Linked DNA regions of Kluyveromyces lactis. The protein of the gene in region 6 purifies or fractionates together with the protein of the main gene of each other region. This does not show direct contact. Links are inferred from orthologs where the notes say so. Each region holds a gene or a part of one and is shown on either strand. Other genes may lie near its edges. The genes, in order: BRX1, MRT4, CIC1, NOP4, RRP17, ERB1 and NUG1.

Region 1 (3,546 bases), on a different chromosome or scaffold from region 6:
AATTTGATATACGATGAGTGCTGCATACACAATTTTGGGTAGAACTGTTCAACCACATCAATTGGCCCTAGGGACTTTAGGTGCTGTATTATTGTTGGTTATTCCAAACCCATTCAAGTCTAAGCAACCAGCCAAGCCATTATACTCTACTTCCTCTAAGGGTGAGGAAGATTTCATCAAGGCTTACTTGGAAAAGCATACTGCCAACGCTGAAAAGCACTAAAGATAAAAGTCAGGACATTTTTACTTCCTTATTAATTCTACCCACTTGACTGTTCAATTCACGTTTCCTGAAAATTATACAGTATGATTTGTTATTACTACGCATAACATCTTCGTATTTGGGGAATAGAAGAATGCAATGGCATTGGGCAAGTAAAATATTAATAAATCTATTAAAATTCAAACAAATGATAAAAAAAACATTTCAAACAGCACACTGTGGTTCACACCAAATGTAAAAACGTTTTCCCCATGACGTTTCATGACGCTTCAAGTTTAACTGGTATTCTGGCCCCCCAAGTTAACTAAATAAATTAAATATTCATGTACGACTTTAACGTATAGTATAGTTAGGAATAAAACGAAAAATTATATTATCAAAAACAGCCCATTCAAAAGCATATATATAGGAGTATACATATGTACAAGTCTGAGCAGGAAGAACGCCGTTCTCCTAAGTTGACAATATATAAATCATGATTTTTTCTAGAGTTCTGGATTGTACTTTAATCTTTGAACAATGCATCGTTGGATAATGGATCTACAGCCAAGACACTTTCTCTCTTCTTTAGTTTCCTTTCAACAGCAGCTTCGGCTCTGGTCTTAGCTTCCTTGGCAGCCTGTTGTTTAATTTGAGATCTAACGAAGTTTGGCGATACGTATTGTCTGTTTTCGTAGATCTTTGGACCACCAAATGAACCTTCAAGGATCAAAATCGGTGTCATCACGAAACGTGGGCCAATTTCAACTAACGACGTTTCATCTTCTTCTTTATCCTCATATTCAACGTTGTTCCTAGCTTCATGCGAGATCTCATACGTTCTTACCCAGATCTTTTCGTCAACTATACTGAAAGACATGATATGGTCAATGAATGGCTTGGACTTTCTAGCTTGAGGTGGTACACCGAAGTTATGGATAAAAAGTTCTTTAATTAAACGGTAGTGCGGTTCAGAATCAAATCTACCATCAAATGACAATATTGGTCTGGATCCCTTCAAACAGTTGCCAGTGAAGTTTAATTCGTCCATGGTATGTAGGTTCTGCAAATAAAACTTGATTGTTGGTCCATTTGGTGGCTTTGATAGCCATAGGTACAAATCCTGGTGCTTTCTAGCTTCAAAGAATATAATGTTATTACAGTTGTACAATTCCGCAATCTCATTCAATTGTCCTAGATCCTTCTTCGTGTCCAACTTAGGTTCCTTTCTCGAATGTGGTAGAAGACTGTTCAAATCCTGAACCAAATGACGATGTCTATAAGTAACACCTCTGGACGTAATAAGTAAGGTACGTTGCTTATTCATGAACTGTTTCTCATTACTGTCACTGTTAGCCGCATTATTTTTGTTCTTCTTACCGTCTTTATCCTTACGAGACAAAGTCTTGAAAATACTCGACATTATAGAAGGATTTGCTTAGCAGTTCTTGGCTTTTTCTTCCTTCCAACTACTCAAGTGTAATACAATAATCTCAAAGTGTTTAGACCGACGATGTATAGATTGGAAGGATCAGGACAACCTTGTTCAATACCTCTTCTCATCTCATCTCATCTCATCTCATCTCATCTCATCGCCTTTTCTAACTTTTCAAAAATTTTCAATGTACCGAAAAAGAAACTAAGGCTCATCAGTGATGATTTAAAATAGAAAAGGATAGTTTCTCGAAAAGAAAATGTTCGTATCGTCTGCCAACTGGCTTCTATCAGATTCAACGCGGGTGGGGATTGTATGGTGAGGTCTTGCGTTTATATTTCAAGCAGTAAGAGCGCTGATGCCCTTGTTAGGCTGTGCCGTTTACATTTATGGATACACATACAGTTATAGTTTATTATCCGGGTAATCAAGACTGAAAAATTACGATATTGGCTTAATTCAGCATTCAAACTTCTAATGAACAACCTCATACGCACGTCGTTCGTAGAACAACCCGGTATGTCTGGCAGTAACGGTGTTCGTTGCTGTTTGATCTGTTAGATTTGATATCGACCAACACGAAGAGTGGAAACTGTTGATATGAACTCTGAAGATCATCAGCTTTTTCAGCTATTAGATAGGGAACTGTTTAAGAAAGCTTCACAGTTTGTTGCATCATTGCAGAAACGGTACCCATCCGCCACTTATTACAAAGTGTTAGAGCAATATGTCAAGTACAGGCAATCTCCTGCGAAATATAGTTTTGAAAATGGGTTAAAGTTGATCTTGGATGCCAAATCTCCTCCAAGCGATGCGAAATCGCTATCAATGTGCCATCGATTTTTGTTGGAATTAGGTTTTGACACCACCAGTGCATTGGAACCTTATGAAAGAGCAATGATGAAATACGGTAATTCGGAGACATGTTATGATTGGTTCTTGGAGTCATTGAGGGATTTAAATTGGAGACATTTGAGTAAGAGTAGTTTCCAGATGCCACGAGTCAATGAAAAATCGAAATCGAGATTGTTCCAATTCTGGAACAGTATTGCTACTGTAGTATGGTTTCAGTTGGATAAAGATAACATTAACGAAAGGGAATTGGATCTTTTACCTAAGTTGACATATAAATTGACAAGCGATTTGAAACCTTTTGAGAATGAGCAAGAGTTGATCGTTTTCTGTAAAGTTTGTGAATTGTTTGAGGATAAATCACAGGAGATCGTGGACGAGATCCTCAAGTTTTGGAAACATGGTACTTACTTAGACCTTTATTTGAAAAACTTCCTTATGGGCCATTTGGTGAAATTAGACGATTATAAACTCATTTGGAAACATGGAATCTCGTTATTGAATAACCTTGACGATTATGGTATTTTGCAAAAGATTATAGATGCAAGTTACAAACTTGGCAAGTCATTCGATGAGTTATTGGAAGTTTTGGAAATCAAGAATACGAGAAATTACATACTAGCAAGAGTCGCAGCAGCAAAACTTTATGACGATAGGCTAGATCACTACCTGTTTCAGTTCATCGAGAAATATCATGATAAACCTAGTTGTCCAATCGATCTTCATAGCTTGGAATTGAACCCAGTGAAAATCGAGACCATGTTTTCAAAGCTGCCTTCGGGGCTGATACACGACAAAGCTGTTGCTCAATTGTTCGGCAAAGGTGATAATTTGGAATTGTTCTTGAAACATAAGGAATCTTTGTCAACAAAGCCAAAGACAGATTACTCTAACTGCTCGTATTTCATCCTTGAAATCGTGAAAGACCTATGCCAAGACTCCAAAGTGAACTTAGAGAACGTCATTACGTCCATTTCGCTCTTGGAAGGTTACCAAGCAGAAGACCCCTTCAACTATGACACCAGGGTATGGCTTGTTCTCTTATACATGTATCTGG
Region 2 (3,403 bases), on a different chromosome or scaffold from region 6:
CGTCAAGGCTATTACGCATCTGAAACAATTAATGTACCGGCTTACAAGCGTGAAATTAATTTATTAGGATAAGGTATTTCCTAGTAGGATAGCATTGGTTAAGATTATTTTTCATCCTTATAAACCGATGGAAGATGTACTGCGTGATGTATTGGACCGTAACAAGAAAGTTCTAGTTATAGCAGTTGGCGTTAAGGCTCGAAGTTTCTTCGAGCAAGATCTACGGGAAAACAAGACGCATTTCTTTAACAGTATTGATGATATAGTCAGGGGACGATCCAACGTGCGGATTCTGTTCCTTGATAAATTACAGTATTTATATATGTACTTGACATATGTCGAGATTGAGCTCCAGAATAAAGGAAACACATCGATGTGCTATGAAGAAATTATCATCTACGGTTTAGAGTCCCTGTTAATGACGAAAGAACAATTGGAATCAGAAGAGACACAGAAAACTCTTGATCTGTCAATCTCCCAGCTGCGACATTGTAACCTCATCCTTCATGGATCGCTTCGACTGGAAAATCAGTACGCTGTGCGTATCAGAATGGTGTCAGCGACAGATCTGGGAATGATGTCTCAAGGTTGGAAGAATCTGACCGAATATTGGCAGTACGTGTATTCGATAAAGGATTCCTAGAGAAGAGATTAATGTACAAAGGAGAAATATATAGGTTATGATTATATATATATATTTATAGTTTATCACTGCAATGCTTTCTTATTTTTGGATTTATTTCGAATCCATGTTGATATTGATCTGTTCCACACTAGAAGTTTCGTTATCGTAGTATGCGGCAACCTTCACCCTGAATTCAGCAGCTGCTATACCAAATTGTTTCAAGATCAATGCTTGAGTAACATCTAGAGTTTTGCCCTTTTCACAGACCAAGTATGGAGATTCGATGGTAATCTTACCATTCTTAATTTTGGTTGGAATCTTGAACTTGTTTCTTAGAGTTGGTTCCAGAGAATGTATCATAGGCACATCTTCTTCTTCTGGGATTTGACCACCACGAGAGTATACAATACCGGCTGGAATGGTAAAAGACAATGGAGCCTTTGATTTTGGTCTGGAGAAATCAGCTCTCACATATGCCTTGAAGTAATCTTCCACTACATCGACAGGTTCGTTGGTAAATAATAGACCAGTAACACCAGAACAGTGCTTACATAGTTTGGCCAAGTTCTCCTTGTACTCTTCCTCTGGCTTTTCACCTAACGCTTTCACCAACACCTTCCTCTTACCCATGATTAACTTGGATCCAACCCAAGAACTTCTAATCTCTTGCAAAACTGGAGTTCTCACATCTTCCAAATGTAAAACCCAAGCGTATCTGAAAGAATCCAAGGCTTCTCTAACTTCATCGAATATCCTTTCCTTGTTCTCTCTACCCTTCTTATCGGTTTGGGCCAATGTAACCAACTTTGAACGCTTAGATCTTGGCATCGTATCTGGGTTGGTATATGTAGTAGCTTGATGATAAAGAGTAACGAAAAGTAAACAATTATCAGAACACTATTCAATTACAGAAGAGAGATAAATAAAGAGGAATACAACTGATAGAATATAGCGATTAGTACTGTTGATCAGTTTAAACTATGAAAGGTCCATCGAGTAGATGCGATGAGATGAGCTTTCTCAAACTGAAAAATTTGCGCCTTTCTTTTTCTTTCTAGTTGTGAGTCACGTGATTTGATTTTTCCAAACGGAAAGTAACGACCTCTGACACAAAGTGAATCGGTAAGACATATACCGGCTCTTTTGCAATGCTCTAGGGCCATTCTCATAAGCTCGGTTAGAGAGGTTTATTCTAAGGAACTGCAAAACCAAACTCCGGTATGAATTCCCTTGACTGATTTCTGAGTCTCTCACTCATTGCCAATGAGACAATAGATCTCAATTCAACACAAATATCAAGACTAGAAAGGCACAGATAGGGCATGATCGTGTATCGGGCAAGTAGATATAGTGGTAATGATTTAACCTATTACCGGAGATGTATTGTAAATGGGGAAGTAAACTTAGTCACGTGACTCATTACTTGTGGCGACGGGTATTGTGTATATTTTCCTCAGATAAAACCGCAGTGTACCGGACCAAAATGTACCTTAAAAGTTCAGAGTCAGGAAATTGCAATCTCAGTACATATTTAGCAGGAAACAAACTAGTTGGTTTGATATGAACAGCCGGCGAGTTAAACATACCTCTTGTATTGCTTGCCAAAGTCTAACAACCTCTAAGATACCAATTATTAAGGTGGTAAGAGATACCGGGTTGTGAACTAGAAATTTTAGATAGTAATTTTGCCTCTTATTTGTGATTTGAAACAGGAAAGGGTTTTGAAAAGATGAGTTATTACGATGGCGATGGCGACTATATCATATATGAAGATGCGAACGGTAGCCATGAAAGTGATGATGTTGAATCTGGCGAATATTCTTATCCAGAGGATGAAGATGATTTAGAGTTTGTCCATCACGATGATGATGATGATGAAGACGAAGACGGGGAAGAAGATGGATCGCAAGGAGAGCAGTTGGACGAAGATCAAGATGAAGATCAAGACGATGAGGAAGTAGAAGGTGAGATAGGGAATGTTTATCATGAAAGCCGTTCTGGGGACCGTGCGGACAGGATTTCGTTTCTACAAGATATTGTTTCTCGTCTAGCGGATCAAAGATCTGGTGAAAGTGGGGATGGTGATGTTGCTGAAGGCGAGGAAGCTGATTCGGAGCGTGCATTTGGACGTTCATTGCCAGATCTGTTGCAAGAACTAGGAAGGTCTGAAGGGTTTTTCGGTGTTAGCAGAGGAAATTCTCGGTATTTGAAATTGATTGAGAATGTGCTTCAAGCTGAAGACGATCCGTATATTGCTATGGAATCTCTCCGGGAATTATCTGAACAGCTATTGATGTTAAACCCTTTGATCGCTGATCGAATCATCCCATCTGGCAAGTTAATGGACGCTTTGATCCATGTATTGTCTAGCCCATTATTACAAGCAGAGTTGGAGTTACAATTAATTGCTTGTAGGTGTCTCTATAACTACTATGAGATGAACCCAGAAATGATAGAGGTTTCGGTTAATAGAGATATTATTGAGATATTGAGAGGGAAATTGAATGAGATAAGCTATATCGATTTGGCAGAACAAGTTTTGGAGTGTTTAGAGTTCATTTCAAGGGTACATGGATCTAAGATTTTAAGAAGCGGTACCCTTCTCTCTTGTTTGCAATATTTGGATTTCTTTACCGTCCATGCGCAGAAAAAATCATTATCTATCGTTGCGAACTCATGTGCTAGGGCTAAGGAAAGTGACTTCGAGGTGGTATCAGAGATTTTCCCCATCTTGAAATCTATCTTCCTAAATAGTACAAATCCAGTAATTTTGAAGCC
Region 3 (3,695 bases), about 430 kb from region 6:
TGCTCGAGTGTTGTGATTTCGCTACCTTGTACCTTGATGGCATTTCTCGCGATGCGTTCTCCGCTTCTCTGCTGAGACTACTGAAAAGAATTTCATTTTTAAATTCTTCTTTGAAAACTTTTGGCCCTTCCGAAATGTCAGCTTCAGTCTCATCAATTCCAAGTAGAGGTAGAGGATCTTCATTCTCTTTATTTACGTCAAAATCCACTTCTTGTTCCTCGGTTAAAAACTGGTTATTCATATCCAAATCATGAGCTAAAAGATGTGTTTTAATGATTCCTAAATCAACAATAATCCCAGTATGCTGTTGTTGTATTAAATCTAACTTAGATTTTAACAGGGCAATTTGACCATTGACACTTTGACACTTGCTATTACACACTGCGTCGCATAAAACGTTCCAATCAGTTTGTAAAGTGTCTACTCTGCTTTGGAATGTATGAATTATTCGTTCAATATTCTGTGGCATCTCATTTGATTCTCGGCGTCTTCGCAATGCAATCAAAACTTGAAAATACTAATTGATTCAGATGTAAATAATAGTGTATATACTAAACTACGAATAAGCACGAATAACAGAGGTGATGATGTGAAAGTTTGTGAAATCTGTGGTTTATATAATATTTGACATATGTTTAATATAGTAATTAAATCTTTTTGTGACACTTTTATTTTTCGTTTTTCCTTTTCCTTCACTGACTGCATGGACGCACCAGTCCACACAGAAAAACCAGCAAACCTAAATGTGGCACATCAGAAAAGTTGTTCGAGCGGCGATGGGTTTGCACCATCCAAACAATACTAGGAATAACGTTTTCCTGCTGGTTCGAAAACGCACTGAATTTAACTACTGTTATTCTTTTATGAATTGCAAAGTATCGATGCTATCTGGAAAATTTGAGTACAGATTAAATACATTTTGTAGGGAAAACTATCATTGTAGGAGCGGTGACAGCCGTTAAATCTATGCTAAATGGGTAAGTTTTAAGACGATATTTGTGAAGGATAGAAATTAAGAAAGAGGAATGAAAAAAAACGCGATACTCCTGTACCTCTAATTTTTTACGTTTTTATTCTTTGTCTTTTGTCTTTTAGCGCTGGATTTTTGTTCTTTCGTTTGCTCTTTCTTTTGTTCTTCTTGCTCTTCTTCTGCCTCGACCTCTTCCAAGTTTCTTTTGGCTTGCTTAATTTGCGTAGCAAACAAGGAGTCTAGTTCGTCTGGATTTGCAATTTCTAACAAAGATTTCTCAAATTGTGATAGTTGCAATTCGACACCATCAATTTCTATGACATTTTGAACGGAAGTCTTAGCATCATGTCTGGACCCAACCAATTTGTCTAATACTTCCAAATTAACGTATAATGGAAGGACTGGTGATTCGTTAGATTTGAGAAGAATGGTTCTGATATTGTACTTTTCGATGAACTGTTTAGCGACAGAAATGATATTTTCAGTCAATTGTTCTGGGGTGAACCATTCCAATGAACCTAGATGAACATTCATCGTGTTACCTCTTGGAAGTTTGACTGGGATTTTAGTATCATAAATTCTCTTGATGCTATTTACCAAAGTTGTCTTGTTAAACTTGTTATCCGATCTTGTGTTAATGGCAATTGGAGTGGTATTCAACTTACTGTATGCTTTACCACCTAATAGCTTGGGCAAAGCTGTCACTATCGAGTCATCAGCTAGAATGAAAGAAAAATCCTGTACAAATGCACGCCTCTTTTCAAAAGCCTTGTATTTTGTCTTCAAATCTTTACCAGATATGATGGCATCAATAGTAATATGTTCTGGAAGTAGATCGATCAAGTCTTCTGATGTCACTGAATTGATATCAGAATCTTTTAGAATCAAAAGAGTCTTGAAATCTTTAACCATGGTGGTGCTAGCTTCCTTCCATGGCTTGAAGATAGAATGAGGAACTGTAATTAGTTTTGGTTTGAAGTTTTTCAAAGAACCAGTAAAAGATTCAGTGTTGACTAGGATCAACTGTAGCTGAGCCTCCAATTCAGAATCATCAATTAACTGATTGTCATTTGATCCATTTTCCTTCAAATATTCTTGCAATTTAATAACAGCATTGTTAACTCTGTTAACTGGAATGACTTCTTCCTCTTTACTGCCCTTAGTAGCCTTGGTGGCTTTGGTCGAAACCTTGCTTTTCTTAGTTTTAGTTGCCATATTATCTAAACTTTGATATTGCTTATAATGTGCTTGTAGATATACTAGACTGGATGAGTGGAGTTATTTCCTCTATATTCTGGATTCTTTCCAAGCGTTTTTTAACTTACTTGATTCGCACTGTCTCAGAAAAAGATCAACAAATTGTTGGTTCACCTAGGTAAGCTTACTTCTCGAGTTCGTACTGGCAACTATGAAATATCCAGTATATATCTAATCAATCCTTTGAGCTGAGAAATAAGAATAGGTACTTAAATACTTTACATACCATTACTTTATTAATCGTGTTAGGTGTGCAACATACTTCGAGATGAGATGAGATGAGCTATGATGAGATGAGCTCTCTATTGTCAAAAATAAAAATTTTCTGTTTCGCAGGAGCTCCACTGTGTTCACGTAGTTAGTAAATATTGCTTTTTGAAAGCGAAGGCCGTAATATATGATTTGAAACTTTTCTTGAAATTTGATAACATTTGACACTTAAGAAATAAAGAGTAACCGAATCTGATATTGAATCTCGGTGCGTGTTTGTGCAAAAGTTACTAATGAGCAACGGGCTACGTTCAGTGAATGGGGTTACAATACAAAAGGGCTTAAACTGTGTATTTTAGGGTTTCTTTCTCTGGTTTATTTCGGAACAGTACTATTTTTGAGTTAGGTTTTTTCGGCTGTCAAACAGGACTCACGATCGATATAAAGGATACCTTAACAGAGAATACGCCGCACGAATCTGATTTATGAGTTATTAAGTTGCTATTATTATTATTATTATTATTATATCGTAAACATAGTCATCGTCCCCGTTCATTTATACTGCAAAAGGCATATTAGCATATATTAATCAAATCTAGCCGCAGGGGTAAGCATACGCTCTCACAAGACAAATAAGAAGAGCATTAGACATGGGTAAGAGAAAGAAGTCATCCAGAGGTCCAGCCAAGAAGATAGTACAGAGGTTAGATACGGCATTCAATTGTCTCTTCTGTAATCACGAACGCTCTGTGAGCGTAACAATGGACAAAAAGAATAACATTGGCTCGCTTCATTGTAAGATTTGTGGACAATCGTTCCAAACCCGCATTAATGGTCTATCACAACCGGTAGATGTATATAGTGACTGGTTTGATGCGGTTGAGGAAGTTAACGAAGGGAAACATAGCGAATCTGAAGATGAAAACAGTGACAGTGACTACGAGAGTGACTCTGATACTGAGCCTTCTTCAAACCGTAGAAAAGCTGTTGGAATAGATTCTGACGAAGAAGAAGAAGAAGAACAAGAAGAAGACGAAGATGCGGATTACGGAAGAAAAGGAGCGACCGAACGAAAAGACTCAGAACCAGAATCAGACTCAGACGATGACGGTAAAATATCTAACAAAAGAGGAAGAGCAGCATGGATGGACAGTGATGACGAGTAGTCGAACCGACAGAAACACAGACATCGAACACCAATATTAATCTTACAATTGTATCTATCTATCTATATATTACCCAGAGATATACTAGTAGA
Region 4 (4,887 bases), on a different chromosome or scaffold from region 6:
TATCTCACAAAGTGCATGCAGAGAGATGTCACTTTGTAGAGAATTGGATAATAACCATTTAACGAAATTAGTTGAAATATTCCTAGAGAAGAAGAGCATCTACATGGTCTCAGAGTTTGCTGAACATGATCTTTTACAAATTATCCATTTTCATTCGCATCCTGAAAAGAGACTAATACCGCCAAGGATGCTCAAATCAATAATGTGGCAAATTCTTGATGGTGTTTCTTATTTGCATCAGAACTGGATTCTTCATAGAGACTTAAAGCCCGCTAACATTATGGTTACCGTTGATGGCTGCGTCAAGATCGGTGATCTTGGTCTAGCGAGAAAATTCAATAACATGGTACAGACTTTATACACTGGTGATAAGGTTATTGTAACAATTTGGTATCGTGCCCCAGAACTTATACTTGGAGCTCGACATTATACTCCTGCAATAGATCTTTGGGCTGTTGGTTGTATTTTTGCAGAACTCATCGGTTTAAGGCCAATCTTTAAAGGTGAAGAGGCCAAGATGGAGTCCAAGAAGAGTGTTCTGTTTCAAGCTAATCAGTTTCAAAAAATATTGGAAGTCATGGGTTCGCCAGATCATAAAATATGGCCGAATATCGACAGTTATCCAGAATATCTTCAGTTGGCAAAAATGCCAAAATATCGTGACAATTTAACAGCATGGTATCAGACCGCTGGCGGTAAGGACAAGACTGCTTTAGACATTCTTTACCGTCTATTGCAGTATGATCCTATCAAGAGAATCGATGCAATCGACGCTTTAGACCATGTCTATTTCACCAACGGCGACCCTCCTGTCTGTGAAAATGTGTTCGAGGGTCTCAACTACAAATACCCACCAAGGCGCATTCACACAAACGATAACGACATTACGAATGTCGGCAATGATAATAATCAAGCTAATCACTCTCAAAAACAACCAATGCATGGTAACAATAATAATAAGAATGGGAACATGAACGGATTAGGTGTAAACAAACGTATCTTGGCAGCAGCAGCGGCAGCTGCCGCTGCAGCTGCTGTGTCTGGTAATGGAAACAACCCCACAAGCAATACTGCAACCGGAGGATCAGCACGGAAAAAGAGAAAATGATTCTATAATTGAAATGCATGTTATTTAATATACAGATTTTATATCCTAGAAACTTCATTGCTTCGGAATGCTTTGAATTTTTGCCTTTGACTATTGTTTACATTCAAGAACGGCCCTTGTTCTTTCTTCTACGTTTAGATCCAATAATCTGTTTAATATTATTACTTAGACCAGATTTTGTTTCCTCTTCTACTGGTTGAGCCACTTTTTCTTCTTCTTTATTCTCTTCATCATCTCTTTTTCTCTTGAAAGATATCAATCTAGATTCTTTGACCTTTTCTCTTCTTCTCTTCACAACGTTAGCGTTTTCGATAGCAAATTCGACCACCAGTCTTCTTTTTTTGAAACTGTCTGCATCAAGCTGTTTCTTTTCATCATCCGTAAGTCCTTCTAAGATTTCGTCCCTACTGACTTCATGAGCATTTAACCATCTTAGACACATTAGCGCAGCTTTATGATCCCTGAATTCAACAAAACCATACCCTCTACTTCTACCACCGCTAGATCCTTTAATTTCCATGATAATTTTAGATTGTCTAACAATACCTTGTTTCTTGTCCTTCTTCTTTTGAGCTTCGATTTCTTCTTCAGACATGAACTTGTACTTTTCCTTAGTAGATCTGACGATTTCTTCTTTATTCAATGCGTGTCTCTTGTTTTCGTTAACTTCTTTGGCGAACTCTACTACAGCTTTACGAGCTAGCGCCTTTAGACCCTTCTCAGTCATTGCTCTTGGAATATTTCTGATAGCCAATCTAGTCATCGAAAGATGTAACGTTGGATTCTTCTTCAATTGTTCGACTCTTAACTTGTAAGATTTTTCTCTGACTTCCATATCAGCAGGAGTTAACAACTGTGAAAGCTTTGAACCTGCAACAATTCTACCTTCATTTAACAAATATAGATTACGTCTGTCCTTTTCACCTGGTGCCTTACCAAGAACTTCTTTTCTCTTCTCGGCATTTCTCTCAAACATTCTTCCAGCAGATTCTCTATCAAGAGTTGGAGAAATTGCAAGAACACGACCCTCATAAACATACTCTGGGGAAACATCATCACTTATTAGAAGGGATGTACTTCCTGTAGCAGGAGCATTATTTAGACAGTCGTTGTAAGCATCTTCGCTTCTGAATGCAACGAAAGCAGTACCCTTCGCCAAACCAGTTTCTTTATCAATCACTGGCAAAGCGTATTTTACTGGGCCGAACACGCCGAAATGACGTTCTAAGGATTCTTGAGTGGCATCGTATGGAACATTACGCACAAAAATAGAGAAATCTTCCTTTCTGTTCTTCTTTACGGTATCCTGTTCTGGTGTTTCCTCCTCTTCGCTGATTTCTTCATCAGAATCCAAGACGATGTCACTTTTTTCTTCTTTTTCTTTGTCGTCCTGATTGTCAGCGTCCTCTTCACCCGAATCAGAACCATCATCCTCATCATCATCATCATCTTCTTCTTCTTCTTCCTCATCTTCATCAGACGCTTCCAGTTCCTTATGTTCGTTCTTATAGTCCTCCCATCTGTTCTTTTGAATTGCAAAATCAACAGCCACTTTCCTGCCATCGATCTTCAAATCCTTAGTGCCTTCTATAGCAGCCTTACAGTTAGAGATCCTGTTCATTGTAACAAAAGCAAACCCACATAATCTACCGTCTCTCTTCCTTGGGATCGTAGCTTCAACAACGGTACCGTACAATCCGAAGATTTTCTTCAGTTTCGTCGGATCACGACAGGACCATGGCATATTTCTGATAATTAATTTCGGTTTACCCTTCATTAAATCATTATCATCTTCGGGTTTGCTTTCCTCCTCATCTTTAACATTATCTACGGAAGGTGCTGATGATACCTCATCCGCATCCTTTTTACCACGGGAACGTTCTCTTCTTTTGGCAATATCGATTCTCAACAAACGTCCCATAAACTTCGTCTTTCTAGCCTGATTCAAAGCAGTCTTAGTATCATCTTCAACTGCAAAACTAACAAAACCAAATCCTCTGCTTGCACCCTCACCATCTTTGACAATAACAGCATGCTTGATAGGAGAGAATTGGGAGAAGAAGTTACCGAATTCTTCATCGGTAGACTCAAACGGCACACCACGAACAAATAACGTCTTCAGATCAAGACCTTCATCCTTAATAACTTTCTTATCACTCATCACAGATATATTAAGCACAAATCTGCGTCGTTTGATGTAGACGCTAACAAAATAAGTATATAAATGTGTTCATTAACCTTCTACTATATATATACTAGATATCAATACTAATGGTTCTTGGGCGATGAGATGAGATGAGCTTTAAAATTTTTTGACAAAAAGAAATCAAGCGGACTGAAAAGCTGTAAGATTTAAAGAGATGAACAGATCACGTGTGGATATTCCTGGCATATACGGCTGTTCAATACCTCTGTTCTCCGATGCAATACAACTTTCCTGGTTCTATGAAGATATTCTGTCAATCTTATACGACAGTTAGACCAATTTAGTTGATTGTTCTCACTTTCTTGTCAGAATCAATACTATATAAAATGCATGGAATTTTAACATCGACTATAATCTGAAACTATGGAAAGGTTTGATGACCCTTAATCCTTATGTTCTTTTTATGATGGTGTTATATGGACGGTGAACAGCATATTATTGGGACGGCCAAGATGGAACGCACGCTTCGAAATGACAATAATAATGTAGATATTACAGTTACAAAGAATAAACTTGCTAGGCTCGGTGCACAGGCAATAGTGAAACTGATCACTACCTGGCTTGATACACATGCCATTAATGATTCACAGCTGGTCTCGGATAATTTAGTTGAATTGGTGAAAAAACATGGGGTACGGAATATTGCTAATATGGCTGTCACGAGTTGGTGGCCTTCTTTATCTCGAGAACAGTTATCACAACTGGATATCTGGTCTGTTTTATGTGACACTTCAACTAACCAATGGGTAGCGTCCAGATGTTTGGATAGAGATGGAAAGCAATTTATCGTAAATGTGGAGCCGAATGAGCTTATCAATGGTATGCGCGAACAGTTTAAACGACTTTACGAATTGGATGTTAACATTGAGGAAAACGATGATTTAAGTATGTACATATGCCGAGTTCAGTTGTTCGAATCAACTGGCGACCTTATTATCAATACACACAAACCGTTCTACTTTGCTATTATGCCGGGACACTCGATTATCTTCCACTCGTTGCAGTCTGATACTCACTCACAACTTATATTACTGGCATTCTCAAAGCTACATTCCAAGACAATCAGGTTGGAAAGAATTAGCAGGAAACCAACCACGTCATTACACGAATTAAACCTTTCTCTAGGGCTGCCGTCTGTAAATACTACAGGGTATGGGATTTGGTCCGTATATTCGGGCAAGGATGCACTAGAGCCATCTCCACTAATAGAACCAAAAGATCATCCAATAAATCATACCCTGTCAGATTCTTTAATTAAGGACCAGACCAGACGAAGAAGTGATATAGCAATGCTAAAGTTTAAGGGTTCTATTTCTGGTGTTAGGAGACAGAGAATTTATGCTATGAAGAGAATGAATGATAGAGTATACGGAAACTCTGATACAAACCTTAAAGAGATTACTAAATATGACTCGCTTCTGCCGGTGAGGAGAGTGAAGTTCACATATGAAGACACCAAAATGAAAGGTAAGATTCAGATTAATCTTAGTGGTAAGGATATTTTTGGTGGTCTACACGAGTTAAGCGATAAGGGTTTATTAGATCCCGTGGTGATGCCCGATTGGTTGTGTGG
Region 5 (3,567 bases), on a different chromosome or scaffold from region 6:
AGAGAGTTGTTGTCCTTGTGTTATTAGGGTTATGGCTATGGACATGGTTCCTGAAGGTATCAGTATCCTACTACGACGTGTCCAAAGTAATTGTATCCAATGAGTCCACGGGACTACCTTACTTTAACACATCCACGAAAATACACCAATCAAGCCTGAAACTGTTCAAGTCAATCTCTAGAGTCATTATACCGTGGCAATTGGTATGTATAATCTTATTCCAATACTCCTTCACTAATAACGTATCCAACAAATTGCTTTGGTTTTTTTTGAATGTTTCACCACTACTGGAGTTGTTTTACATATTTGCAATGATATTAAGGTCATCAGCAATGGTCGCAAGGTGCTTTAAAAGAATACTTTGGGTAGCTGACATTGAACCAAAGCCGTATAGGAATAACTATATTATAATTAGTGATACTTTGACCTCGTACTCTAAGCCATTGGTGGATTTAGCTATTTATGCCACTTTCCTTTTCCATGATCCAACAAACGTCAAGTGTCAAGTGGAAAGATATGAAAATGCTATATCGTTAAACATTGACGTACTTGTTGGAGTCTTGCCCTCATTGGTCAGAATGATTCAATCGTTAAGAGAATTTACAAGAGGAAGGTCTCAGAAGAAAGATGGTTCACAATTGTTCAATGCTTTTAAGTATGCTGGTAATATTCCTATCATGCTAGTTACAGTCTATACAAGATATTACAACCTGGGCCCACTTGGAATGATGTATTGGTTCATGTTTTGGAATTCCGCGTATTCATTCTGGTGGGATGTGACCATGGATTGGAAACTAGAGCTGTTCGATTTTGTGAATGGGGACACTAGTGTCAATAACAATAATAGTAGTAACAAAGCGGACGGTCTTTTAAGAAGCATTTTGTTGTACCGGAAAAATGCGTGGTATTATAGCGCTATGGCGCTCGATTTTATTTTGAGATTCGTATGGTTCTGGGAGTATATCAGTGGGCACTCTGTATTTTATGGGGAATTAAACATCTTTTGGTTACAAATTTTAGAGATAATCAGAAGATGGATTTGGTTATTCTTTAAAGTCGAGGTAGAATACATTGCAACAACAGAGGGGGGGAAAATGGATGAATGAGATGTTTAGAAAGAGAGGAAGATAATAAATAAAAAAAAAAGGTTAATTACTTCCTACGTTTATTATTGTTGGCCTTTCTTTGATTTTGTCTTCTCTCGTTCTTGGTCAAGTATCTGAACTTCTTATTCTTTTTACTCTTATTACCAGATTTTTCTTCAACTCCCAAAAACTTTGCATATTTCTTCGCACGTTCGATGCTTTGATCTAAAATTTGTTCCGATTTCTCTAACTTCACATTATTTAATTCCGCAAGGTACTCAAAATTGTCATTGGGCTCTAAGGGTTCGATGTCTACCGTAGTATCATCTAAGTAAGTCTGTACATATTTCTTTAAGATCGGTTTCACACTAACAGAGTCAGAATCCTCTTCTTCTTCTTCAGTTGCATCTCCGTTATCATCGGAAAATCCCGTCCATTCTTCAGCCTCTTCATCGCTTCCCTGTTTCCCATTTTCGGCTTCTTCGTCGTCGTCCTCTACACCGACATAATCACCGACATCTTTCATCGCCTGTTTAAAATCTTCAAGCTGTTTCTCAAGAGCCTTTTTTTTATCTGCTCTGATCTTGGCCCTTTCCTCGAGCCTAGCTTTTCTCTCTTGCTCTTGGATGAACTCCTTGGCTTTCTTTTGTCTATCAAGCTTTCTCTTATGGAACCCAGTTAAGTATTCCAACCGTGAGTCCTTATCGAACTTTACCTCATCAGCACCGAATTTCTTAGCAGCTTTCTGCTTGTAAGATTTACCACCGGTAAGAATCTCACGATTACTCTTTGCCACCATTTTCACTCTATATCCACACTGCTACTCTGTATCTTCTGCAGAACTTGAACCGGTCTCAGCACCACCTCAGTAAGTGAAAAGCCTATCTGCTTTCTTCAGCTCATCGCATCAGCAAGTTTTTCCGTTTTAATGCTTTTTCCAAATATTGAAACTTCGAGATACAGAAAGAAATACATAGATAACTATAACATGATTGCATAAGGGCAATCTAGCCGTCCTGACCTAATTTATCTAGACCAATTCATATGCTCTGCCATGCACTAAGTAGAAAACAAATCTAGGCGTATACCTGTGTAGAGGATCATTACTTAACTATTCAATTTCTGTCATTCTGTGCTTTCCTATCTATGTCTTTCCCATAGCTTTAATTTTCGGGTTCTATGAAATTTCAGTTCCAAGTTGCAGTGAAAGAAAGATATTTATACTCACTATACAGATGCGCTGTCAAGATAGACACCGGAGGTACCATTCAGTAACATCAGTGGGATATACGATACGCGTGATTATTCATAGCAGCCATGACTATGCGTAACGAATTGATACAGTTTGTAGGACAAATTCCACCGGTGACCCGAGGAATATGTCTCTTAATGGTGTTAATATGTTTGATCCAACGCTTGAACGTATTACCGTACTATTTCAGCGATTTCAAATGGTCTTTACGTGGTGTATTGTTCAAGTTCCAAATCTGGAGGTTGTTCACTAGTTTCCTCATCTTACCAAACGATGCCATGAAAGCATGTTTCGACCTATACGCAGTATACTCGAAATCGTTACATCTCGAATTAGTGCACTTCAGCAACAAATCCATCGATTATTTGTTTTACATATGTTTCAACTTTGCATTGATCGTCGTGCTCGTAGAAGCATGCCAGATCTCATACCCAGTGTTCACTAACGCATTCATAGGAATGATCCTATATACGTGGACTCTGGACAACAGCAACGTGAAGGTAATGTTCTACGGATTATTCCCAATCTTGGGTAAATATCTATCGCTAGTGCATCTTTTCGTTTCGTTCTTATTTGATGACGGGACCGATGGTTACAGCAGGTTTTGCGTCACAATGGTCGGGTTTTGTGCTGGATACGTTTACTCCTGCCTAGACACATGGACTTACGGTCCCTTGTACGGTTATCTGATGGGGAAGGACCCAGCGTACGGATTCTCTGGAAGAGGTCATTTCAGATCACCAAGATGGTTCTCCTCGATCATTCTATGGATAGGACGTGTCCTATCCATCACCTCCAAACCCGTTTCGTCATCAAACAGGACAGACCCCGTGACCAGAAGAAGGTTGAGAACCCCGTTAAAGAAAAGCACTTTCGCTGGAACTGGAAATAGATTAGGGACCAAAATAGACTGATTAAGGTACTAATAATCCGACATACTGTTATCTATATTATCTACATCTCCCTTGTGTATATATCATTTGTGTTATTTTATTTACCCCAGGTTTAATGGAAATATGTCGACAATGGAAAATTGATTTTGTATGATGGTTCTGCCTAAAAGCCCGTTATGGCGAGAAAATAGTTGATGATCAAAAAGTGTTGGAGCAAACGAATGACCACAGGGACCAAGAGTGGAGGTGAAGCACGTCTTGGGTACAGGATTGCAGAGAGTTACTGGTACAGGTTCGTTGATGATCACTCGGTTCGGACGTATATAACGGAATGGGC
Region 6 (4,987 bases):
GGAGAAATTTATGTTGAAAATACAAGTAAATATTGTTAACTAAACTTTGCTTTAGAGTCTACGCTGCGTCTCTTAACTAAAAGGCTGGCTACAAAATATCGACCTCTATTTAATATGGGAGAAGACGGTAAACATCACGCAGACTACTCTTCATTCCAAACAACAGACAGGAAAAAAGCTCTCGAGCAACTCTTGATTTCATATGAGGCTTTAGCAGAAGGTCAAGACAACTGGGTCTGCAATCTGGCGAACGCCGCATCATTAATCTGGCATTGTTACATATCACTTAATGTTGACGTTAACTGGGCTGGGTTCTACCTCACTCGGAGAGAGAATAAAAAAGAGTTGATTCTTGGGCCATTTCAAGGCAAAGTTGCTTGTCAGTTGATTCAATTTGGTAAAGGAGTGTGTGGTACTGCTGCGTCTAGTCAACAAACTCAATTAGTACCAGATGTTGAAAACTTCCCAGGGCATATAGCATGTGATGGGGAGACAAAGAGTGAAATTGTGGTTCCTATAGTCCAAAATGGCGAAACAGTAGGTGTTATCGATATTGACTGTTTGGACTACAACGGGTTTACTAAGCTTGACCAAGAATTTCTAGAAAAATTGGCCGCTTCAGTTTCAAAGACATGCGTATTCTAACTCATTAAGTAGTTACACTCGTTAATTATATTCTCTCAATTGATATCACAACTCTTGACCGTATATGAAGTTGCCTGTTATTGCATACCTAACATAGGGCATGCTGCCCCAGGTCCAGTGGAACAGAAGTTTTCTAGTTTTCAATGAAAAAAATGATTTCGCCCAGGATCGAACTGGGGACGTTCTGCGTGTTAAGCAGATGCCATAACCGACTAGACCACGAAACCATCTTGTGAGGTCTGTCGTAATATAGACTGAAGACAAGCCAGACGAGAGGTCATGTGAGCTAGCCAGCACACGGCAGAGTTCCAAGACGTCAGTGACTGGGCATATGGATCCTGTGGTATCCAGAAGGGATGGCCTAGATGGATCATAGACGGTCACGTGATGGTCTTGAGTGCGCGTGGAGGACGGTAGCTGCAGAGGACCTACAAGGGCATGGAGGCAATGAGTTGCCATGACGAAGTCTGACGACCATCCGAGTATATAAGTCGAGTATAAAAGGCTGAGCTATGTTGCGACCTCTTGGGGAGGTTGGACGCATATACTCAACGATCTAACTAAATAGATTATTATATTATATTCGTTATATTGTTTGATATCAACGATCCCTCATCAGGCGATTAATCAATCAACTATCATCCAAGGCATATCACAACAAGATCTGAGAGAACTACATGAGTATATGTTACATCGTTAAGAGTTTCTGAAGAAACGAAATAGGTCTCTCTTATCAGCGCCCCAAATTGGAATAATGAAGTTTACTGGAAATAGCTTCTTCAATGATGAAATTACAAACTTGAAAACGATGTTGCATCTACTAGAATAAAACTAAGATAACTGTCTATGATGCAAAAAAAATAAGAGTTAAGAATTACATTCATTGTAGGCTAGCGACCAAAGTAAATATCTTCAACGTAAGTAGAAGTATATGTGGAGTTGATTGAATACCAGTTCCCTATCTTTGCTGAAGGGTACTTTGACTTTTTCAAAATAGCATTCTTGTTCAAAACTTTGTAGAAGTAATTAATGTATCGTAATTTTCTTTCTTTTTGTTTCTTAAAATTTTCAATTTTCATCTTGAGAGATGAGATGAGATGAGCTGAAGTGAATAGACCACAGAGATAACCAGTACTTCTCAAAGTTAACGGCATCAGAAGAAGCTCTGAAAGTATAGAGAGCCAGAAAACAATACCAGAAACTATGGCCAGAAAGAATTCTTCTTTGAATGGTTCTGAATCAGCGGAGCTTGTTGTAAAAAAGAGAGTTCTCGAGGAATCTGAATTGTCCGATTCTGAAGATGAAAGAATTGAAGTTGATGGTTTAATCGATGAAGAGGCTAGCGAAAATGAAGCTGAGGAAGCTGAAGATGACGACTCTGATGCTGAATTCAATCGCTTATTAGCTGAAGAAGAAAATGGACAGGAGGAGGAGTATAATACTTCAGATTTTTCTGAAGAAGGCGATGCTTTTTCCATTACCGACAAATTGTCAAATGTAAAGTTAACAGTGATTCCAGAAACAAGCGATGAAGGCATTGTTCGTACCAAGTATTCAGATGGAAGACCAAGAATTCTTAAGTCAGAAATTAATCCTGTTTATGATAGTGATGATAGTGATGCAGAAGCTAAGAACACAATTGGTAACATCCCACTATCTGCATATGATGAAATGCCACATATTGGTTATGACATTAATGGTAAGAGAATAATGAGACCAGCCAAAGGATCTGCTTTAGATCAATTATTGGAATCTATAGAATTGCCAGAGGGTTGGACAGGTTTACTAGACAAAGACAGCGGTGCCTCTTTGAATTTGACCGAAGAAGAACTTGAATTAATCAATAAGTTGCAAAATAATCAACAGACGGACGAATCTGTGAATCCATACGAACCTTTAATCGACTGGTTCACTAGACACGAATCTGTAATGCCAGTTACGGCCGTCCCAGAACCGAAAAGACGTTTCGTTCCGTCAAAGCACGAAGCCAAGCGTGTGATGAAAATAGTCAAAGCAATCAGAGAAGGTAGAATTATCCCACCAAAGAAACTAAAGGAATTAAGAGAAAAAGAAGAACAAGACAGTCATAACTACGATCTCTGGGGAGATGCCGAAGAAATCTCTGAACATGTTATGAACTTGAGAGCCCCAAAATTGCCACCACCAACAAATGAGGAGTCTTACAACCCTCCGGAAGAGTATCTTTTGACCCCAGAGGAAATTGATGCATGGGAAAAGATGGAACCAAGTGAAAGAGAGAGAAATTTTGTGCCTCACAAATTCGCTGCATTAAGAAAAGTTCCAGGTTACTCTGAATCTGTCAGAGAAAGGTTTGAAAGATCATTAGATTTGTATTTAGCGCCTCGTGTTCGCAAAAATAAGTTGAACATTGATCCTGAATCTTTGATCCCAGAATTGCCCTCTACAAAAGATTTGAGACCATTTCCAATCCGTTGCTCTACCGTTTATGTCGGTCATAAAGGAAAAATTCGTACAATGTCCATTGATCCAACTGGATTATGGTTGGCTACTGGTTCCGATGATGGCACTGTCAGAGTATGGGAAATTCTTACAGGTAGAGAAGTTTACCAAGTCACAATACTTAATGCGGAAGAAAACAATGATGACCACATAGACGTTGTTGAATGGAATCCCGACAGTACTACCGGTATCCTTGCGGTTACTGCTGGCGAAAACATCTTCTTGCTTGTTCCACCAATTTTCGGCTTTGAAATTGAAAACACAGGTAAATCAAAGATTGAATACGGTTTTGGTTTCGATACTTTCGGAAACGTCAAAAAGAGTAATCTCAATGTGAATAGCGATGATGAGGATGACGGTGCTGAATCACATGCTGTCAAGAAACAGGTTGCTCAATGGAATAAACCAACCGAAAGGCAAGCTGCCAATGATATTTGTATCGTAATAACTTGTCGTAAATCAGTGAAAAAGCTTTCATGGCATAGAAAAGGTGATTACTTTGTCACTGTTCAACCAGACTCAGGTAATACATCAGTTTTGATTCATCAATTATCCAAGCATTTAACTCAATCGCCATTCAAAAAATCTAAGGGTATCATTATGGATGCAAAATTCCATCCATTCAAGCCACAGCTCTTGGTCTGTTCTCAAAGATACGTCAGAATTTATGACCTATCGCAACAAGTGCTAATCAAGAAACTTCTACCTGGTGCTCGTTGGTTATCTACTATTGATATTCACCCAAGAGGTGATAACTTAATTGCATCCTCGTTTGACAAGAGAGTGTTGTGGCATGATCTTGACCTTGCAAGCACTCCATATAAGACCTTGAGATACCATGAGAAGGCTGTAAGAAGCGTAAGTTTCCACAAGAAACTACCACTGTTTTGCTCAGCTGCGGATGATGGTAACATCCATGTTTTCCATGCCACGGTCTATGACGATTTAATGAAGAACCCTATGATCGTCCCGTTGAAGAAACTAACCGGCCACAAGATTGTGAATAGTTTAGGTGTTCTAGATACTATATGGCATCCACGTGAAGCTTGGCTATTCTCTGCAGGTGCCGACAAAACCGCTCGTTTGTGGACTACCTGATAGAACCCTCATGACGGGATATTTGTAAAACACTGTATACTATGGACATCATTACCTATCAATATTACAAGTAGATACTTTCTAATTAGTGTTCAAGGGAATACATTATTATCTTTGGATCAGAGCTCAAAAGGTATCCATGTCTCTCATCATTGCCATTTCCTCATCTGATGCGATATCATTACCGTTATTTGTTGTGCTGGCAACGGTCGTAATTTTACTCAATTCGTCTAACTCTTCAGCGTTAGGCAGAGCGTAGCCATTTTGTGTATGTTGCCGTATGTTTGTATCAGTGGTGGACAACATTTCATTCGTGTGCCGCTGGTGATGCGAAGAATATAGAACATCATCATCATCATCATCATCATCATCATCGTCATAGTTGCCGTCATTATTCTGATTTTTGTCTTTGTCTAGGCTGATAATTTTGGTGGCTTCATAACCATACTGTGCATTTCCGCGGTCAGTCGCTGAGGTAGATTCATCCGTTACAAATAAGCTATTTCGTCCCTGATGAGCAGGTAGTACGCCTGTGTCGTGCATTTGCATATCAGGTACGTTGGGAATGTCATCTCCGAGGAGGATACCCATGTCTTTCCTAACTAAATTCATTCTATACTCTCTTAGCTCTTTGTCAGTTTTCCCCAATGATTCACATAATGAGGTGAAATCTTTGAACTTTGCCTTCGGATACAAATTATGAGCCCATAGCTGATAGAATTGTAAGAAGTTTGTTAAGTTATCGTAAGCTGTCTTGTGCTTG
Region 7 (4,183 bases), on a different chromosome or scaffold from region 6:
TGTCAGAAAACAGATTGAAGGATAAATCAAGGTATCGCAGAGAAGAATGAGCACTATTAAACGGAATGCTCGAACAGGTTGTCTTGAAAGCTCGGAAAATGTTGTTTTCTGATAGCGTGATACTTTCCAACTTGTCAAAATCAGAGTTCATTTCATTCAAATGCTCAAATCCATATGACTCAGTCTCTTTCGACCCAAATTTGTAGGTAATATCGATTGATGAAGTATCACCGTATTTCATCAATAATGCACCTTCAAACGATGTTCTCTCTTGCCGAGATGTATCTAGTTTAGTCTCCTTCACAAATGAGCCACTGCTCTGTCCATCGGATGTTCTGAAGTATCGTACTCCGTTTAACGTTCCATCATGTTTACCTCTTTGCTTGTTGTCCCACTCTAAACCATATGCAACGATATTAGGCCATTCTGGCAATGATCCGATGTATCGTACTGTGCAAAACTCACCTCCTATATTCAATCTATCATTGACATTGATCTGCATATTTGGCCCTAGATTTAGTCACGCTGTACACATAGTGTAGCCTGGAGTTCGTATGGTAGACTCACGGATTATTTCTCTTCTTCACTCTTTTAAACATTTTGATTTTAGTAGGCATTTAAAGTATTATTTAAAGGTTTGTTACCTAAAGAAAAGAGATGACAAAAACGTCTTGCCGAAGAAGATATTAAATCATTTATATGTAGTAGTGTACAAATGTGTATTGTCTATTAGGTGCGTGGACTGAAACGGGTGTTCAAATTCACATCCTAATACATAAGCTTTTAAATCTATAGCTTTAACGATGCGAAATAAAATAAGCAATAGGATCCTTGATCGTATTTCATAGAGATGCAGAATAATTCGTTTTCTGTGTTCTCAATTACCTAAGTTGTCTTGTTCAGCTTCAATGGCGTTATCCAATGACGCGAAAAGACCATCCAAATCGAATTCCTTGGACCATTCTTGAACAATGGTCGTTTGTTCCACCTTAGCTGGTGCTGCGACAGCACCAGTACCTAGAGTTGGTTGGTTAGCTTCACCAGATGTAGCAGCATGTTCTGCAGCAGATTCCTTAGAAGCATTGGGTAGAACCCATCCTAGGATCTTACCATCTCTCCAATCGTTAAGAACGGATATACCAGCGCTGGCCAAGTTTGGAACACCGCCCTTACCTAATCTACCTCTCTTACGGGCGATATGGATCAAGAATTGTTTGGTGAAAGAGTCTGCATCGGCAGCTGGGATAGGTGGTAATTCGTACAACTTCTTGAAACTTTCAGTCATTTCTTCAGATTTAGAAAGTCTCTTCACTAATTTGAGCACAGCTGGGTAAGGATCTATGATGAATTTTGGAGGTAGAGCGTTCAACAAGGCCAACTCTGCTTCTTGTTCCACTCTACTCATCTTTTTATTTTCACTTGGGAAACAAATACCTGGAGAATCCAAGATCTTTAGCTTGTTATCTACCTTGACTTCTCTCATAGATGTAGTGACACCAGCTTGGTTACCCACTGGACATGCTTTAGAAGAACCACCACGGCGAGAGGTCAATGCGTTAATGACAGACGACTTACCGACGTTTGGATAACCGATGACACCAACAACGATGGATCTCTTCAAGTTTGAATTATTGGAGTAAGTCTTCAAAGCTTCTAACAAGCTTGAAGCAGTTGTAGCCTGAGTCAAAGTCCTGTTGAAAGATGTGGAGTTAGTGGCACCAGGAGCAGCTCTCAATGGAATAGTAGGGAACGAGGATTTCAAAAAGGTTAACCATTGTTGCAACACGTATGGTGGCACTAAATCGATCTTGTTCAAGATCAAAATTAGTCTCTTACCCTGGGATTGAAGCACGGCCTGTTCCACTCTTCTCGATCTAGTTCCTTCTGGATCTCTTGCATCTAGCACGTAAAGGATAACATCGGACGCATCCACCACAGTCTTGAATATCTTATCGTAAGCCTTTCTAGACTTTTCTAATTCAGAATCATCATCATCTGCGTCAGCGTAAAAGTCTACGTCGTATTCAGCAACCTCTAAATCCTCTTGCTCTCCATTCATTGTATCATCGATACCTTCCCCATTGTACTCCTTTGCAGCTTGCTGAGCGGATTCTAACAAAGCAGAAAGACCATTGTTGCCGTCGTTTTCATCTTCATCCATAGATTCATCGTCATCACCAACATCTTCACCTAGTTCACGAGTTCTTCTCTTAGCCTCTAACCTTTCCTGCTTTCTACGTTCTTTCTCCTCCAAATCAGTTCTTCTCTTCGCTTCAATCTCTTCGATGATCCTGTTCTTGTACGGGAAATTGGCCGGAATACCTGGATCCTTACTCTTATTGGATTTCCATGTCACATCCTTCTTAGCAAGTTTCCGCTCTTTCCTATGTTGAGCAGCAGCCTTCTTCTTGATACCCTCCTTCATACGAGTGGAAGTTCTCTTGGAAGTTCTCTTTCTTACTCTCACCATCTCTTTTGATTAATGGAAAAAGGTATATTTACTGCACTGGATTATAGATATCTTAGCTGTTCCGGTGAACTTATCACGGAAAACAGTACTGAAACATCTACTTGAACAGGTGTTCTGTAAATATCAAGTCTCATCTCATCTCATCTCATCTCATCGCAGGTTTTAACATATTTCGAAGAGCTGAAAAATTTCAAAGTAGAAAAGAATTTCTTTTTGCTGGCGGACGACAGTGGAAACACAGTGGATACTCGTCAATTACGAGGCAATCTTATGCTACTCGCAAGCCATAATTTGTGTCAATAATATTTGGGACGTATTTGGTATATCTATGAGCACTTCCAGGCAGATATTTAACATTATATATACAGTAATACCGTCAAGGGCAGTGAAACTGTCAGTACATATAAAGGCAGCCCAGTAGCCGTTGCGCAGTTTTTTTTGACACTAGCAGGGAACAAAAATCATCTCAGTAATAAGAACTGATATAACGTGATATACGATACGAAGTTGCGAGGGTGGAACTTGTTTTACCACATCTCTCATCCTCTCTACTTCCAGTCAGTGTAGTAATAACTGCGAAGTTATTACTTGTTACCCGGATCTCGTGAAAATTTTCATCAACCGTAAACAAGAGACATGCCACGGTTGTTTCTGTGGCGTTTATCACGTGATATATATTTCCGTCGAGTTTCCAGCATTTTTGCTTAGAAATTGAGAAACTAAAATGATAAGGAGCTATCCAGTTGCAACTTACACAGTCTTGTCCGTCTACTAGTTGGTTAATCGGTATTTCTTCTGTTCTTTTATAACAAAAGCAGCGCCTAAGTTTAGTTATCTTAGCGGCTCATCATTCGACTTCTTACCGTTCAGTTTCCAGCTATTTTTTTAGGCTGTTCTGAGTCATATACCGAGGCAAGAGAAAAGAGAAACTATGTCATTGCCAGCAGCAGCTTCAGCAAATGTAGCTGTCTCATCTAGAAGGAGGGGGCCAAATTTGAACATTGTTATATCGTGTCCCGAATGTAAAGTTTATCCTCCGAAAGTTGTGGAACGGTTTAGTGAAGGTGATATCGTCTGTGCATTATGTGGGTTAGTCTTATCGGATAGAATTGTGGATACCAGGTCAGAATGGCGTACTTTTAGCAATGACGATCAGAATGGAGACGATCCAAGTCGTGTTGGTGAAGCTTCAAATCCTTTGTTGGATGGAAACCATTTAACCACACGTATCGGGCAGGCCCAGGGAAGTGATGCTAGAGTTACTAGGGATTTGAATAGGGCTCAGTCGAAATCTATCGTTGACAAGAAGGATAACGAGTTGCAAGCTGCATATGCGAAGATTACTATGATGTGTGATGCTGCAGAACTGCCCAAGATTGTTAAAGATTGTGCTAAAGAAGCTTATAAATTATGCTTCGAAGAGAGAGTCTTGAAGGGGAAATCACAGGAAAGTATCATGGCTTCAGTTATTCTTGTCGGATGTCGGAGAGCAGAGGTCGGGAGATCTTTCAAGGAAATCTTATCCTTGACTAACGTGCGGAAGAAGGAAATCGGGAAGACGTTTACCATCATCAAGAACATTCTAAGAGAAAAGAATGATAGAGGGTTTGCCAATATTGATACTTCAAATATCACCACAGGACAGACAAGTGCAGAGACTTTCATCCCTAGATTTTGTTCTCATTTGGGCCTTTCAGTGCAGGTGGCTAATGC

Evidence for each region.
Region 1: the proteins of ERB1 (region 6) and BRX1 purify together in Saccharomyces cerevisiae (affinity purification with mass spectrometry; 4 studies listed by BioGRID). This does not show direct contact. The link is inferred for Kluyveromyces lactis from reciprocal best matches to the Saccharomyces cerevisiae genes ERB1 and BRX1.
Region 2: the proteins of ERB1 (region 6) and MRT4 purify together in Saccharomyces cerevisiae (affinity purification with mass spectrometry; 3 studies listed by BioGRID, with this or other methods). This does not show direct contact. The link is inferred for Kluyveromyces lactis from reciprocal best matches to the Saccharomyces cerevisiae genes ERB1 and MRT4.
Region 3: the proteins of ERB1 (region 6) and CIC1 purify together in Saccharomyces cerevisiae (affinity purification with mass spectrometry; 5 studies listed by BioGRID). This does not show direct contact. The link is inferred for Kluyveromyces lactis from reciprocal best matches to the Saccharomyces cerevisiae genes ERB1 and CIC1.
Region 4: the proteins of ERB1 (region 6) and NOP4 purify together in Saccharomyces cerevisiae (affinity purification with mass spectrometry; 4 studies listed by BioGRID). This does not show direct contact. The link is inferred for Kluyveromyces lactis from reciprocal best matches to the Saccharomyces cerevisiae genes ERB1 and NOP4.
Region 5: the proteins of ERB1 (region 6) and RRP17 purify together in Saccharomyces cerevisiae (affinity purification with mass spectrometry; 4 studies listed by BioGRID). This does not show direct contact. The link is inferred for Kluyveromyces lactis from reciprocal best matches to the Saccharomyces cerevisiae genes ERB1 and RRP17.
Region 7: the proteins of ERB1 (region 6) and NUG1 purify together in Saccharomyces cerevisiae (affinity purification with mass spectrometry; 9 studies listed by BioGRID, with this or other methods). This does not show direct contact. The link is inferred for Kluyveromyces lactis from reciprocal best matches to the Saccharomyces cerevisiae genes ERB1 and NUG1.

What each region holds. Positions count from the first base shown.
Region 1 is NC_006041.1:1,576,813-1,580,358, reverse strand, and holds BRX1 (ribosome biogenesis protein BRX1), read right to left. Parts: upstream 1,626-3,546; coding exon 729-1,625; downstream 1-728. Other genes in the region: MDM20 (Mdm20p), read left to right, coding at 2,238-3,546. UniProt on the Saccharomyces cerevisiae protein: Required for biogenesis of the 60S ribosomal subunit.
Region 2 is NC_006038.1:1,184,073-1,187,475, forward strand, and holds MRT4 (mRNA turnover protein MRT4), read right to left. Parts: upstream 1,454-3,403; coding exon 737-1,453; downstream 1-736. Other genes in the region: SHU1 (Shu1p), read left to right, coding at 128-643; putative ubiquitin-protein ligase UFD4, read left to right, coding at 2,355-3,403. UniProt on the Saccharomyces cerevisiae protein: Component of the ribosome assembly machinery. Nuclear paralog of the ribosomal protein P0, it binds pre-60S subunits at an early stage of assembly in the nucleolus, and is replaced by P0 in cytoplasmic pre-60S subunits and mature 80S ribosomes.
Region 3 is NC_006042.1:2,032,081-2,035,775, forward strand, and holds CIC1 (Cic1p), read right to left. Parts: upstream 2,186-3,695; coding exon 1,055-2,185; downstream 1-1,054. Other genes in the region: KLLA0_F21824g (transcription activator GCR1-like domain-containing protein), read right to left, coding at 1-469; ELF1 (Elf1p), read left to right, coding at 3,088-3,603. UniProt on the Saccharomyces cerevisiae protein: An adapter protein that specifically links the 26S proteasome to its substrate CDC4 which is one of the substrate recognition subunits of the SCF E3 ubiquitin ligase complex. Required for turnover of cell cycle regulatory proteins CDC4 and GRR1.
Region 4 is NC_006040.1:1,003,461-1,008,347, reverse strand, and holds NOP4 (mRNA-binding ribosome biosynthesis protein NOP4), read right to left. Parts: upstream 3,270-4,887; coding exon 1,212-3,269; downstream 1-1,211. Other genes in the region: cyclin-dependent serine/threonine protein kinase SSN3, read left to right, coding at 1-1,108; CHL4 (Chl4p), read left to right, coding at 3,731-4,887. UniProt on the Saccharomyces cerevisiae protein: Required for 60S ribosomal subunit synthesis. Probably involved in the processing of 27S rRNA to produce mature 25S rRNA.
Region 5 is NC_006037.1:186,269-189,835, forward strand, and holds RRP17 (rRNA-processing protein RRP17), read right to left. Parts: upstream 1,885-3,567; coding exon 1,153-1,884; downstream 1-1,152. Other genes in the region: ERD1 (Erd1p), read left to right, coding at 1-1,106; DFM1 (Dfm1p), read left to right, coding at 2,403-3,251. UniProt on the Saccharomyces cerevisiae protein: Essential protein involved in ribosomal RNA processing.
Region 6 is NC_006042.1:2,460,028-2,465,014, forward strand, and holds ERB1 (ribosome biogenesis protein ERB1), read left to right. Parts: upstream 1-1,848; coding exon 1,849-4,224; downstream 4,225-4,987. Other genes in the region: KLLA0_F26587g (L-methionine (R)-S-oxide reductase), read left to right, coding at 115-645; CSM3 (Csm3p), read right to left, coding at 4,351-4,987.
Region 7 is NC_006040.1:1,173,200-1,177,382, forward strand, and holds NUG1 (RNA-binding GTPase NUG1), read right to left. Parts: upstream 2,471-4,183; coding exon 878-2,470; downstream 1-877. Other genes in the region: PAC2 (Pac2p), read right to left, coding at 1-502; SUA7 (transcription factor TFIIB), read left to right, coding at 3,402-4,183. UniProt on the Saccharomyces cerevisiae protein: GTPase required for 60S ribosomal subunit export to the cytoplasm.